2 linked regions of the Canis lupus familiaris genome follow. Each later gene encodes a partner of the first gene's protein in a complex. Links are inferred from orthologs where the notes say so. Each region holds a gene or a part of one and is shown on either strand. Other genes may lie near its edges.

Region 1 (5,482 bases):
AGAAAGAAAGAAAGAAAGAAAGAAAGAAAGAAAGAAAAAAGCCTGGCCATTTTCAACGATGTGGGTGGAACTAAAGGATATTAAGCTAAGTGCAGTAAGTCAATCAGAGAAAGACAATTATATGATCTCACTCATACCTAGAATTTAAGAAACAAAACAGGATCATAAGGAGGAAAGAGGAAAAAATAAAACAAGATGAAATCAGAGAGACAGACAAACCATAAAGAGATTCTTAATAAGAAACGAACTGTGAGTTGCTGGAGGGGAGAGGGACAGGGTGATGGGGTAACTGGGAGATGAATATTAATGAGGGCATGTAATGAGCGCTGGGTATTATATAAGACTGATGAATCTCTAACCGCTACCTCTGAAACCAATAATACAATTCAATAATTTATTTAAATTCAATGATAATTCATTGAATGATAATATAGATACTAATGGGAAAAAAATAGATACTAGAGGGAAAAAAAGTCTTAGGTAACATCCACGCAATTGAAGATGTGAGACTAGGTGGGAAAAAGTCAAGGTTGGCAAGGTAATCTATGAGTTGATCACAGTTAAGGTTGTAAGAGTGAAGAGATCTCTCATGGGGAGAAGGTACAAAGGGCCTTGAATGAAACCTTTAAAGGCATTTGATTTGCCCCTTGCTTGAACTATGTTTATTGGACTGTGGGCTCCTTCAGACTGTACGATCCCTGAGGGCATATCTGATCTCATCCTTGCATTCCCTAAAAGTATCCATTACAGTTTTGTACATAACTGGTGCACAGTAAGCAGCCTATATTAAAGGAATCAATTATTTCAAGGTAATTTCTGATTAATATTTCCTGTTCCACCTGCACTCTGTATTTCAAAAGGTTGTGCCACAGTGGTGTCTGATTTTCCAAGGCTCTGTAACTGGTGAACTGACAAACAAGGCATTGGGACTGTGAAAATAAATTAGCCTTCGGTGACATTAGAACTAAAGCAAATCCCCAGAAGAAGTAGGGAATACTCTTCAAGAAGTTTCTGCATAGAATTAAACAGGAGGGATCCCTGGGTGGTGCAGCGGTTTAGCGCCTGCCTTTGGCCCGGGGCGCGATCCTGGAGACCCGGGATCGAGTCCCACATCGGGCGCCCGGTGCATGGAGCCTGCTTCTCCCTCTGCCTGTGTCTCTGCCTCTCTCTCTCTGTGTGACTATCATAAAAAAAAAAAAAAAAAAAAGAATTAAACAGGAAATGTTTTTACTCAGGGAGTGAAACAAATGAAAATTTTCAACTGTAGACACGACACAAGTTAACAGTGTACAAAAAGTAAAGCTTCAGGTGAAATAAAGGATATACATGGGCAGCCCGGGTGGCTCAGCGGTTTAGTGCCACCTTCAGCCCAGGGCGTGATCCTGGGGACCTAGGATCGAGTCCCACATCGGGCTCCCTGCGTGGAGCCGCTTCTCCCTCTGCCTGTGTCTCTACCTCTCTCTCTGTCTCTCATGAATAAATAAATAAAACGTTAAAAAAAAAAAAAAAGGATAAACAAGATAATTAAAGGGAATTGAGGACAGTTGAGAGGCATACTTTAAAAAAAAAAAAAGAAACATGAGGGAAAAGTCATTCACCTGCTCTCCCACAAAATATTACAGAGGTAGAATAAAAGACAAACCTTAAAAAAAAAAAAAAAGGCGAACCTGATTCAATACCTAGATGAACAGTGTTTCCCCCATTGCTGTATAAAATAAGGAAAAGGACTGCTAAAACCCATCAGGAGGCAAATCTGCTGACAGCCCCCATCCCCCCAAATTAAATGATCTAGGTTCTGGTATGCCACAGCGTTCTAACCCTGAATCACAGCTAATGCCCTAAGGGCTTCCAGATAGGTGAATCAATGGGGGAAGTCAGGGGAGAGAAAAGAAATGCGCTGGAGTCACAGATTCTAGGAACCTGACAAATCGAAGCATCTGTAATCCAACCACCCTCTCAGAATCAGACAGCTTTCCCCAAGTCTAAAAGATGGCCAACCAGTCTTTGCCTATTTACAACAACAGCAGATGGACCATTGGTAGGTAAAGTGACTCTTGTCTGAGCTGGACAGCTCTAAATCGTAGTAAAAATCCTCTGGAGTTATTCCTCAGTAACTTTCACTCCGGGTCCTGGTTCTCAAGAGCCATAGAGTGAAAAGTGAAAGTTGTATTTCGGATTTAATTTGAAGAAAAAAACAAAACAGAACAAACAACTAGGTATTACTTCCTGGCGAGTCAATACATTCCCTTCTTTCAATAGTAGTAGGAAAATTTTAATTTTTTCTTTTTCTCAGCGTTTGACTCCCCTTAAAAGAAAAAGAAAAAAAAAAAAAAGTAATGCCAGGCACGGGTTCCTTTAGACTCGGAGCTGCGACCTCCAGAGCAGAGGGGCTCAAATAACTACACACGCTGCAGCTGACGTGAAATCCCCGTTGCCAAGAAGCAAGCGGTTCTAGCCCGAGCCTGGCCGCTCGCAGGCTGTGGGGGCCGAAGTGCCTGCACCCTCGTTGCCAACGCCGCGGGGGGGCTGGACGGGCGCTCCCTCCCAGGCCAGGAGCAAGCCCCGCGCCCCACAGGGTACCGCGCTCGGCCCGGAGAAGCGGCAACGCTAACAGGAAGGTTCAGCGAAGCACCTGGCAAGACCCAAGCCGAGCCGCCGGACCAGCCGCCCGTATGCCCAACCACCCCGTCCGCCAGAGGCCACCTGAGCAACGGCACCGGTGGGCGCTCCCGGAGTTGGACGTTTCTGGCTCGGTCGGGGTCCCGGTCTATTCCTCCCGCCCACCCTCTCTCTCCCCACGGCCCACAGCTGAGCCGGAAGCCACCCCAAGGGGTGGTGTTCCAGGAGGCACTCCATGTTTGGGGTGAGTGTTGCGGGCCGGCCCGAGCTCTCGAGCTGGCGGGCGGCTGCGGCTGCGGCGGTCACTCACCGAGAGGACGCTCATGCGGATTGGGGTCTCCAACAGGCACGCCATCTTGAGCCTTCCCACCCGGCTACGGCCGGTGCCGGCGCGGGGGCCGGCACTTTCGACAGGGAACTACTGGGCCAACGACAGGCACCTTCTGCGGAGAGACAGGCAGACAGACGAGAACACACCACACTCTAGGCACAGCTGAAGTACGACCAGGGCCCGCAGAGGGGAGAGAAAAGGAAAACCGCGCCAAGCGTCTCCTGACGAATCGTCTTCTCAGAAACGGCAGCTACTCTCAGCCTGGGTTAGAGGTGGGAGCGGGCAGCAGTTTCCGCATGCGCAAAGAAGATCTGCCGGCCCCACCTGCCGCTCGCGGTGGGCGGAGCCACAGGGGCGGGGTCTCGCTCTTGGAGCTGCAAACTTGACGGGCTGAGTCGTTACAATGCAGCTCACCTATTCACATGATAGAGACTAGTGTGTGGAGTCACATATGTAATTTGAAGTTCACGTTCCTATACATTATCTCGCTCCTTTGCAGCAGGTTCCTAGCGTGGTTATCGCCATTTTACAGATGAAGGGACTGTGGTCTCCGAACCAGGTCTTCGGCGTAATCTGCTCGACCCATTAATTCTGGTGTAGTGTTAAGAATAGATACTCTGGAGCCAGAACGCCTGGGTTAGTCTTTGCTACTTCACTTATCAGTTGCATTACGTCCAGCCAAGTTACTTAACCTCCCTATGCTTCAGCTTTCTCTTCTATAAAATAGGGGTTATGAGAACGGGAAACTAAAGGTCTTTAGAACATGACTGGAATGTAGAAAGCGTTATATATATGTTACTATTTCCTCAGTCTCTGAGTCAAATAGAAAAAAAGGGGGACAAATATCTGAGAATTAACACTAAAGCACTCTGATAACTGAAGCCAAATAAAAACATGCTTCTAATGATATTTTCTCATTAATTCAGCTTTCCCACTCCATGTGTGTGTCTATGGGTGTGGTGTGTATGTGTGTGTATAAAACAGCCCTGGACTTGGCTGGACAGGTTTCACCTTCCTGCTGTCTATAACCAGTCAGTTTTCATAGAGTGGTTGCAATAAGCCTGTTTCATTACTTGTTTTTTTCTATTTTTATGGCCACTCCTTAATCAGGCTGTTACTACCTCTCCCCTGCCCTAGAGCAATAGCCTTCCAACTGATCTTGTAGCCTCTAACCTTTTCACTTTGCTCCTCACTGCTTTCTATTCTAGAAAGTTCCCCTTAAGCCACTTTGCTTTTAGCAAAGCCCTACGTTAGAATCTGTTTTTGCTAACCAAAGAAACCCAAAGAGAATTTTTGCTTTTATGAAAAAAAGGTAGTGAATGAAAATAGCAGTGTGTGTTTTGCAGTGAGCCTTTATAAGGCACCTGTCAACCACAGGCAGCAGGGGAGAGTGGCATCCCCAAGCTCTTCCTCTGGGAACTACATTCAGCATCTCAGCATCAAGCCACCCATAGCTTTGAACTGTATCTGTGAGCATCTGTGCTTTATCTCCATTTATTTTGTACATCTGTTAGTAAGATATGGCCTAAGGTATCAGAAATGCCTAAAAGAGGTTATTTTTCAGCTCTGGGAAGGCTCAAAAATGTTTCCATATAAAGTTATGGTATTCCTTCTTCACTTTATGCCATTTTAGTTTAGAAAGTTTTAATAAGAACACCCTAGCATTAAACAGCATAAAGAAAAAACAAATGTATATGTATCTGTTAATATAGCTGTTTTGTGTCTTTAAATAAATTCTTAGATGTTAAAAAAAAAGAACACTCTAATTTTGCTTTGTGGGGGAAACCTGTACTTGGTTTTCAAATTTATTGTAGCCCTAATCATCCTTCCTCATGGCTCTGTCTTCCCAAACTGTTGAGTTTCTAGAAAGCAGGAATTTCACTTCAGATTTTTCCTTCTGCAGTATTCTCCAAACTTCAGTAATCTGCATACCACCCATGCAAACTTTGTCATCTGAACCTGGGTGTTGTTATTCACTCAGTATTTTTCTTTAAAGTCAATTTCAATTCATTAAATAGTTTAGCTTCATCCTAAACCATAAGAGTCTGTAAAATCAAGTTTTTGTGCTTATTTTTATTCTATTACATATTAACATGATAACTACAAAAAAGTTTACATGTCCACCTATCACCTAAAATCATGTCATATTCTGCATACTATAACATAGCAGAGCATAACCCTTGAACAGAGGATATAAAAGTATCGAATGAAATTTCAGCTGACATTTATATGACATTTATATTTATAGAGTTGTGATAGCTGTATTTATCCATGTTCACCCATTACCTCAAGCAATACATCCTCCAGGAAGCCCTTTTCCCAAGTATAAGTTAGGTGACCCCTTCCCCATGTTTTTATACATCATGTTCTTTTTTTTTAAGATTTTATTTATTTAGTCATGAGAGACACAGAGAGAGGCAGAGACATAGGCAGAGGAGCAGGCTCCTTGCAGGGAGCCCTATGTGGGGTTCAATCCTGGAACTCCAGGATCACGCCTTGAGTCCAAGGCAGACAGACGCTCAACTGCTGAGC
Region 2 (4,827 bases), on another chromosome or scaffold:
CAAAGAGCCTCCCATTTAACCAAAATGAGCCACATATTTAAAATTTTACTCTAAAGCAAAACAATTTTGACATTTGGCTTACAAAGGGTTTCTGGTACATCAGAGAGGTGAAATATTAAGCTTAATAACACGTGAATTTTAAAATAACAAAGATTCAGAAGGCCAATAAAAAAAAGTCAAATTATGATGGCTATTATTAAAAAAAGATGTAGACTTAAAAAAAAAGATGTAGAAAAGTATTGGCAAGGATGTGGAAAAACTAGAATCCTTGTACATGGTGAGACTAAAATGGCACAGAGCTATAGCATTCTGAGGATCAAATTTGTCAAAAGATTAAACAGATTATATATATATATATATACACACACACACACACAAGGTATATGTAAGTATATACACAGTGTGTGTGTGGGTGTGTGTGTATATATATATTGTGTGTGTGTGTGTGTGTATATATATGAAATATATATATACACCCAACAATTCTATTTCTGGGTATATACCCTAAAGAACTGGAAACAGGGACTCCAGTGGATATTTGTACACTCCTGTTCATGGCAGCATTATTCACAATAACCAAAGTGGAAGCAACCCAAATGTCTATCAGTTATTCAGCCTTTGAAATGAAAGAAATTCTGACATATGCTGTAACATGAATGAATTTTGAGGACATGTTGCTATTAGGAATAAGCTAGTAACAAAGAACAAATATGTTATGACTCCACTTAGATGAGGTACCCAGGGTAGTCAAATTCAATTTCACAGAGACAGAAAAGTAAAATGGTGGTTGCTAGGAGCTGGGTATAGGGAGAAATGGGGAGTTCGTTTCTCTGGGGATAACGAAAAAAAGTTCTGGAGATGGCTGGTTGCTGACAAATGCAGAACAGTGTGACTATACTTAATACCATAGAACTGTGCATGTAAAAATGACAAATTTTATGTTATGTACATTTTACCAATTTTCAAAATCACACAGACTTACAATAAGGTACTTTCCAGGAAGAAAAATGGATATCCATCTCATAATTAAGATTTTAACATTTCTGAACATAACAGCTAGCATAATAGAAGAGCAAACACACAGGAAAAGATCCTATCTGCTTATAATCAACACAAGTGGTTTTTTTTTATATATATAATCTGTTACTTGAATGTGCTATATTACAAAATTGTATGTAAATATCTGAAAAAAGGTGAAACAAAAATTAAAACTATTAAAGCATGACAATAATTCTGATTATATGTAACACACACATAATACAGTAACATTTTATTAAACTTACTTTAATGTGAAAAGAAGATTAGGATTTCTTTCAAGTAAACTTGGGTATAACTGTTGTGTTGTTTCAATGGCTTCTCCCATTCTCCCTGCTAACACCAATTTCTGAATTCCTATTTAGAAAAAGAAAACAAGAGATTGATTTTTTTGAGTAGAAACAAAATAGTGGGTCCTCAAAAAAAAGTTAGTAAAAAAAACAACTTTAAATAAATTATTGCAATTAACTTTCATTTTTCTAAAATCTAGTTCCTATTAGGCAATCAAGAAGAAATTTCATACATACTAAAAATTAGAAAAATAAGTACTTCATAAAACTATTTTTAAAAATCACAAATATACAGGTAATACAGGAAAAACACCTGTTAAGCAATACTGAAATATTAACCTCTAAGATTAAAAAGATGGATGTGTTTCTATAAATGCCTAGAATGTGGTGCTGGGTTCAAGAATACTTTTCCCAATCTCATCAAGTCACACACACTAAACAGGTACAGCTATTAATATGTCAATTATACTTCAGTGAAGTGTATTTTTTAAAGATCATAGCAAACATTAGAGATAATATTCAGAATGTCTTATCAAATACAATAACCTTTAGCTCCCAGTACTAAGAGAACACTGGCTTTTGAGTAAGACCTGAATTCCCCAGATATAGACTGAGTGTTCCCTGTGTGTTGGATATTTGTTAAATTAGATGACGAGGATGCACAGAGTAAGTGATTGTCTCCTGTTTGCCAGAGCTCAGAGCATAGTAAGAAAGACAGACAAGCCTATGATTAGTTAACAACACAATGTAATTAGTGTTATTATAGCAAATTTGACCTATAAAAAAAATTGTTTCCAAGCATCATGATTTCACCCATCACCTGTATTTTGATGCCTATCCTCTCACCAAGTCATCCCCTCCCTAATGGACTAACTGCACCGCATTTAGGAAGGCTAACTGTGGAGGAGTGACATGCTGACTTGCCCTTGGTAGAACAGGCCCGACAGCTCTGGCCAGAGTACTGGGACCCAAGAATTAAAATTTAAGATCAATACTATCTTAAGTTTAGATAGCAATTCAAATGCAAAGATTAATATTTCTTTTACATATTATCTTCACCAGTATCTAATCATGGGACCACATTACCTACTAAAAAATTTTTTGTTAAATGTTTACTTCCCAAAATCTAAAGCAAACATTTAAGGGGAAAAAAAAAAAAGGTAAACATTTCTTATAAAACTATCTCCAAAATATCTTTCTATATCCAGAATGCTAACACAGTCTTAATGTGAGTGTTTTTTAAATTGGTCTTCAAAAATGTCAATGAAGATTAATTTCAGAGGCATCAATTTTAAGTTAATATATTTGAAAATTTTTTAAATTAAAAAATATAATTTCTAAAAATCAACAAAATCAAACCTATAATCTGAAAACAAGTGTTATCCATGCACCACAGGGTCCTTACTTTGTCTATTCTTAATGGAAGCTAATTCTTCTAGAACGGTCTGGTCTGTAGATCTGGCAAAGGCCTCTGCTGTGGCACAGTACCCATGGTGGACTAAATAAGATGAAACCATTCTTAAAATAAAAAGAAGAAACACACATCTTTTAGTCAAGAGAATACAGGCTTCATACTACAACTTACATAAAACAAGATCTACTCTGTTGTTACAAAACCAACCTATTCCCTTAAAATAAGGCTTTAAGGACCTCAACTTTAAAATCAGTTAAAAAAAGAATCATTTTGTTCTAGTCATGTAGTATTTCCAAAAAGAGAACCGCAAATGCCATGTTAAGAGTACTCTCCCTAAGAATAACTGTCACAAGAGAAGAATCCCTGACAGACTCTTGATTCTTGGTTCCCCATTATCCCCAGGGTCCTTTCCTGTCACTTCCCATCCTTATATTCAATATTCAATCCTCCTAACCATAATTTCTGTTTCACCTTTAATTATACAACTTATCCTAGTGAAGTGCTGGCATTTTCTAAAACACAACACTTTTTAAATAACAGATTAATAACTCTTTGGTGTTATGGAGTTCAATTCCTTTCTTTTCTCATCAGTTGCATGGGATAGGATCTCCAAGAGGTGAACACAGGTGAACGGGAGAGAGGCTTTTTCAGAACAAAGTCTATGAGGGTGATAATACTAACTCACGAAAAACAGCCCTTCTGATCCAAATCAGTATTACTGTACATGAAAGATTAGTTACTCAAACGTGATTTACATGGAAGTGCCATGCTTTCAAAGAACAAGTTTGTTGTTTTTCAAAGTCATCAAGTGGTCAAAACACATTTACATCTAACTGCAAAAGGTTAAAGAAAACTTAAAAAAAAAAAAAAAGGTTAAAGAAAACTACTGACTCAACAATATTAACCCAAATATCCAATATATCCAAATATTCAACTCCTAAACCTGCCGCCATCTGGCACTACTAACACCCTATCAGAAAATGGTAGGAAGCAGTGAAGAGGGATGGAGGGGGCAGCAGGGAAAATCTCCAAGAAACAGATTTTGCATTTTACTTCATCTAATTGGTCAAAATGATTTACAAAAGTAGGAAAGAACTTTTTAAAATGGACTTCCTAGGAGGTCACGGTGAGTGTCAGTTTTAGAAAGAATGGGGTGGTGGCCCTCACTGGACTCTGGTTACAGAATTAAGTTAAATGAGGCTTCCTCTACTACGATCCTGCTATGATCCTCAGTGGCAACCATTTTTAAAGTGCGAAGGGGAGGTGACCCCAGGAGAGCAACTTATCGTCACTCTAACTCATGGAACTATGAGGTTTTCAGCCAGGCTTTGCTGTTCTGTCAGCTGTGCTGGCAAAAAGTACCAGTGCAGAGGCTCTGTGATACCAGATGATAATAGCTCCAGGGAAGAAGCATGTTTTCAGAATCACCATCATGTCTTCCAATCATTATCTCCTCCAAAAAACACACACAAAGATTTATTATATCTTTAAATGTACAACTGTTCAAAGCAATTACACAGACATTTAGGACAAATTGTTAGATTCATGGTATCTGAAAGTCTCTGCTATTTTCTTTGATGAGATGACAGCAGGGAAAATGACTATTTAAATTTACTTGTACTTATTTGATTTTTAGGTCTGCACTATTTCAAGCTTTAAGAGCTACCACTGAGTACTACTGACACCCAGGCATCATCTCCAGCCTTTTAGCAAAGGTATAATCTAAAGAGTTGACTATCATAGGACTTACGTTTTCCTGCTGACTTCCATTCCAATGAAATTCTACTTTTCCATAAAGAACAAGTTGAAATAAAGGTTGTTCATTTTACAATATACTTTTATTGATACCCACTGTTTGCTCTGGTATCACCTACCCATTCTGTACCATCGTTATCATGAAATCCTAAGTATTTATCCTGCTTTTAGGAATCCTCACTCCATGTTCCTATTTGGTCTTTTACTCCTTTTGCTGTCTCTTAAATGTCTAATAATAATATATTAAAATAATTAGTAAGATTTAAAAACTCCTTCAACTGGAGGCTTGTGGTCAGATTTCCCTATATAGAATGAAGACAACTATAATCTAAT

The links. The genes of interacting proteins can lie anywhere in the genome.
Region 2: the proteins of ARMC8 (region 1) and RANBP9 are in contact, whole or in part, in a cryo-EM structure (PDB 7NSC), measured with the Homo sapiens proteins. The link is inferred for Canis lupus familiaris from reciprocal best matches to the Homo sapiens genes ARMC8 and RANBP9. Residues at the interface, in NP_001350870.1 of Homo sapiens: Gln245, Arg246, Asp247, Val277, Leu278, Lys279, Ile317, Ile320, Thr321, Asp322, His323; in NP_005484.2 of Homo sapiens: Tyr271, Gly298, His299, Ser300, Leu301, Gly302, Ile303, Asp337, Asp340, Tyr341, Arg343, Glu344, Thr347.

Annotation. Positions count from the first base shown.
Region 1 is NC_049244.1:34,937,657-34,943,138, reverse strand, and holds the start of ARMC8 (armadillo repeat-containing protein 8), read right to left. Parts: upstream 3,224-5,482; 5' UTR 2,975-3,223; coding exon 2,930-2,974; intron 1-2,929. UniProt on the Homo sapiens protein: Component of the CTLH E3 ubiquitin-protein ligase complex that selectively accepts ubiquitin from UBE2H and mediates ubiquitination and subsequent proteasomal degradation of the transcription factor HBP1.
Region 2 is NC_049256.1:14,383,348-14,388,174, forward strand, and holds part of RANBP9 (ran-binding protein 9), read right to left. Parts: intron 2,844-4,827; coding exon 2,731-2,843; intron 1,393-2,730; coding exon 1,284-1,392; intron 1-1,283. UniProt on the Homo sapiens protein: May act as scaffolding protein, and as adapter protein to couple membrane receptors to intracellular signaling pathways. Acts as a mediator of cell spreading and actin cytoskeleton rearrangement.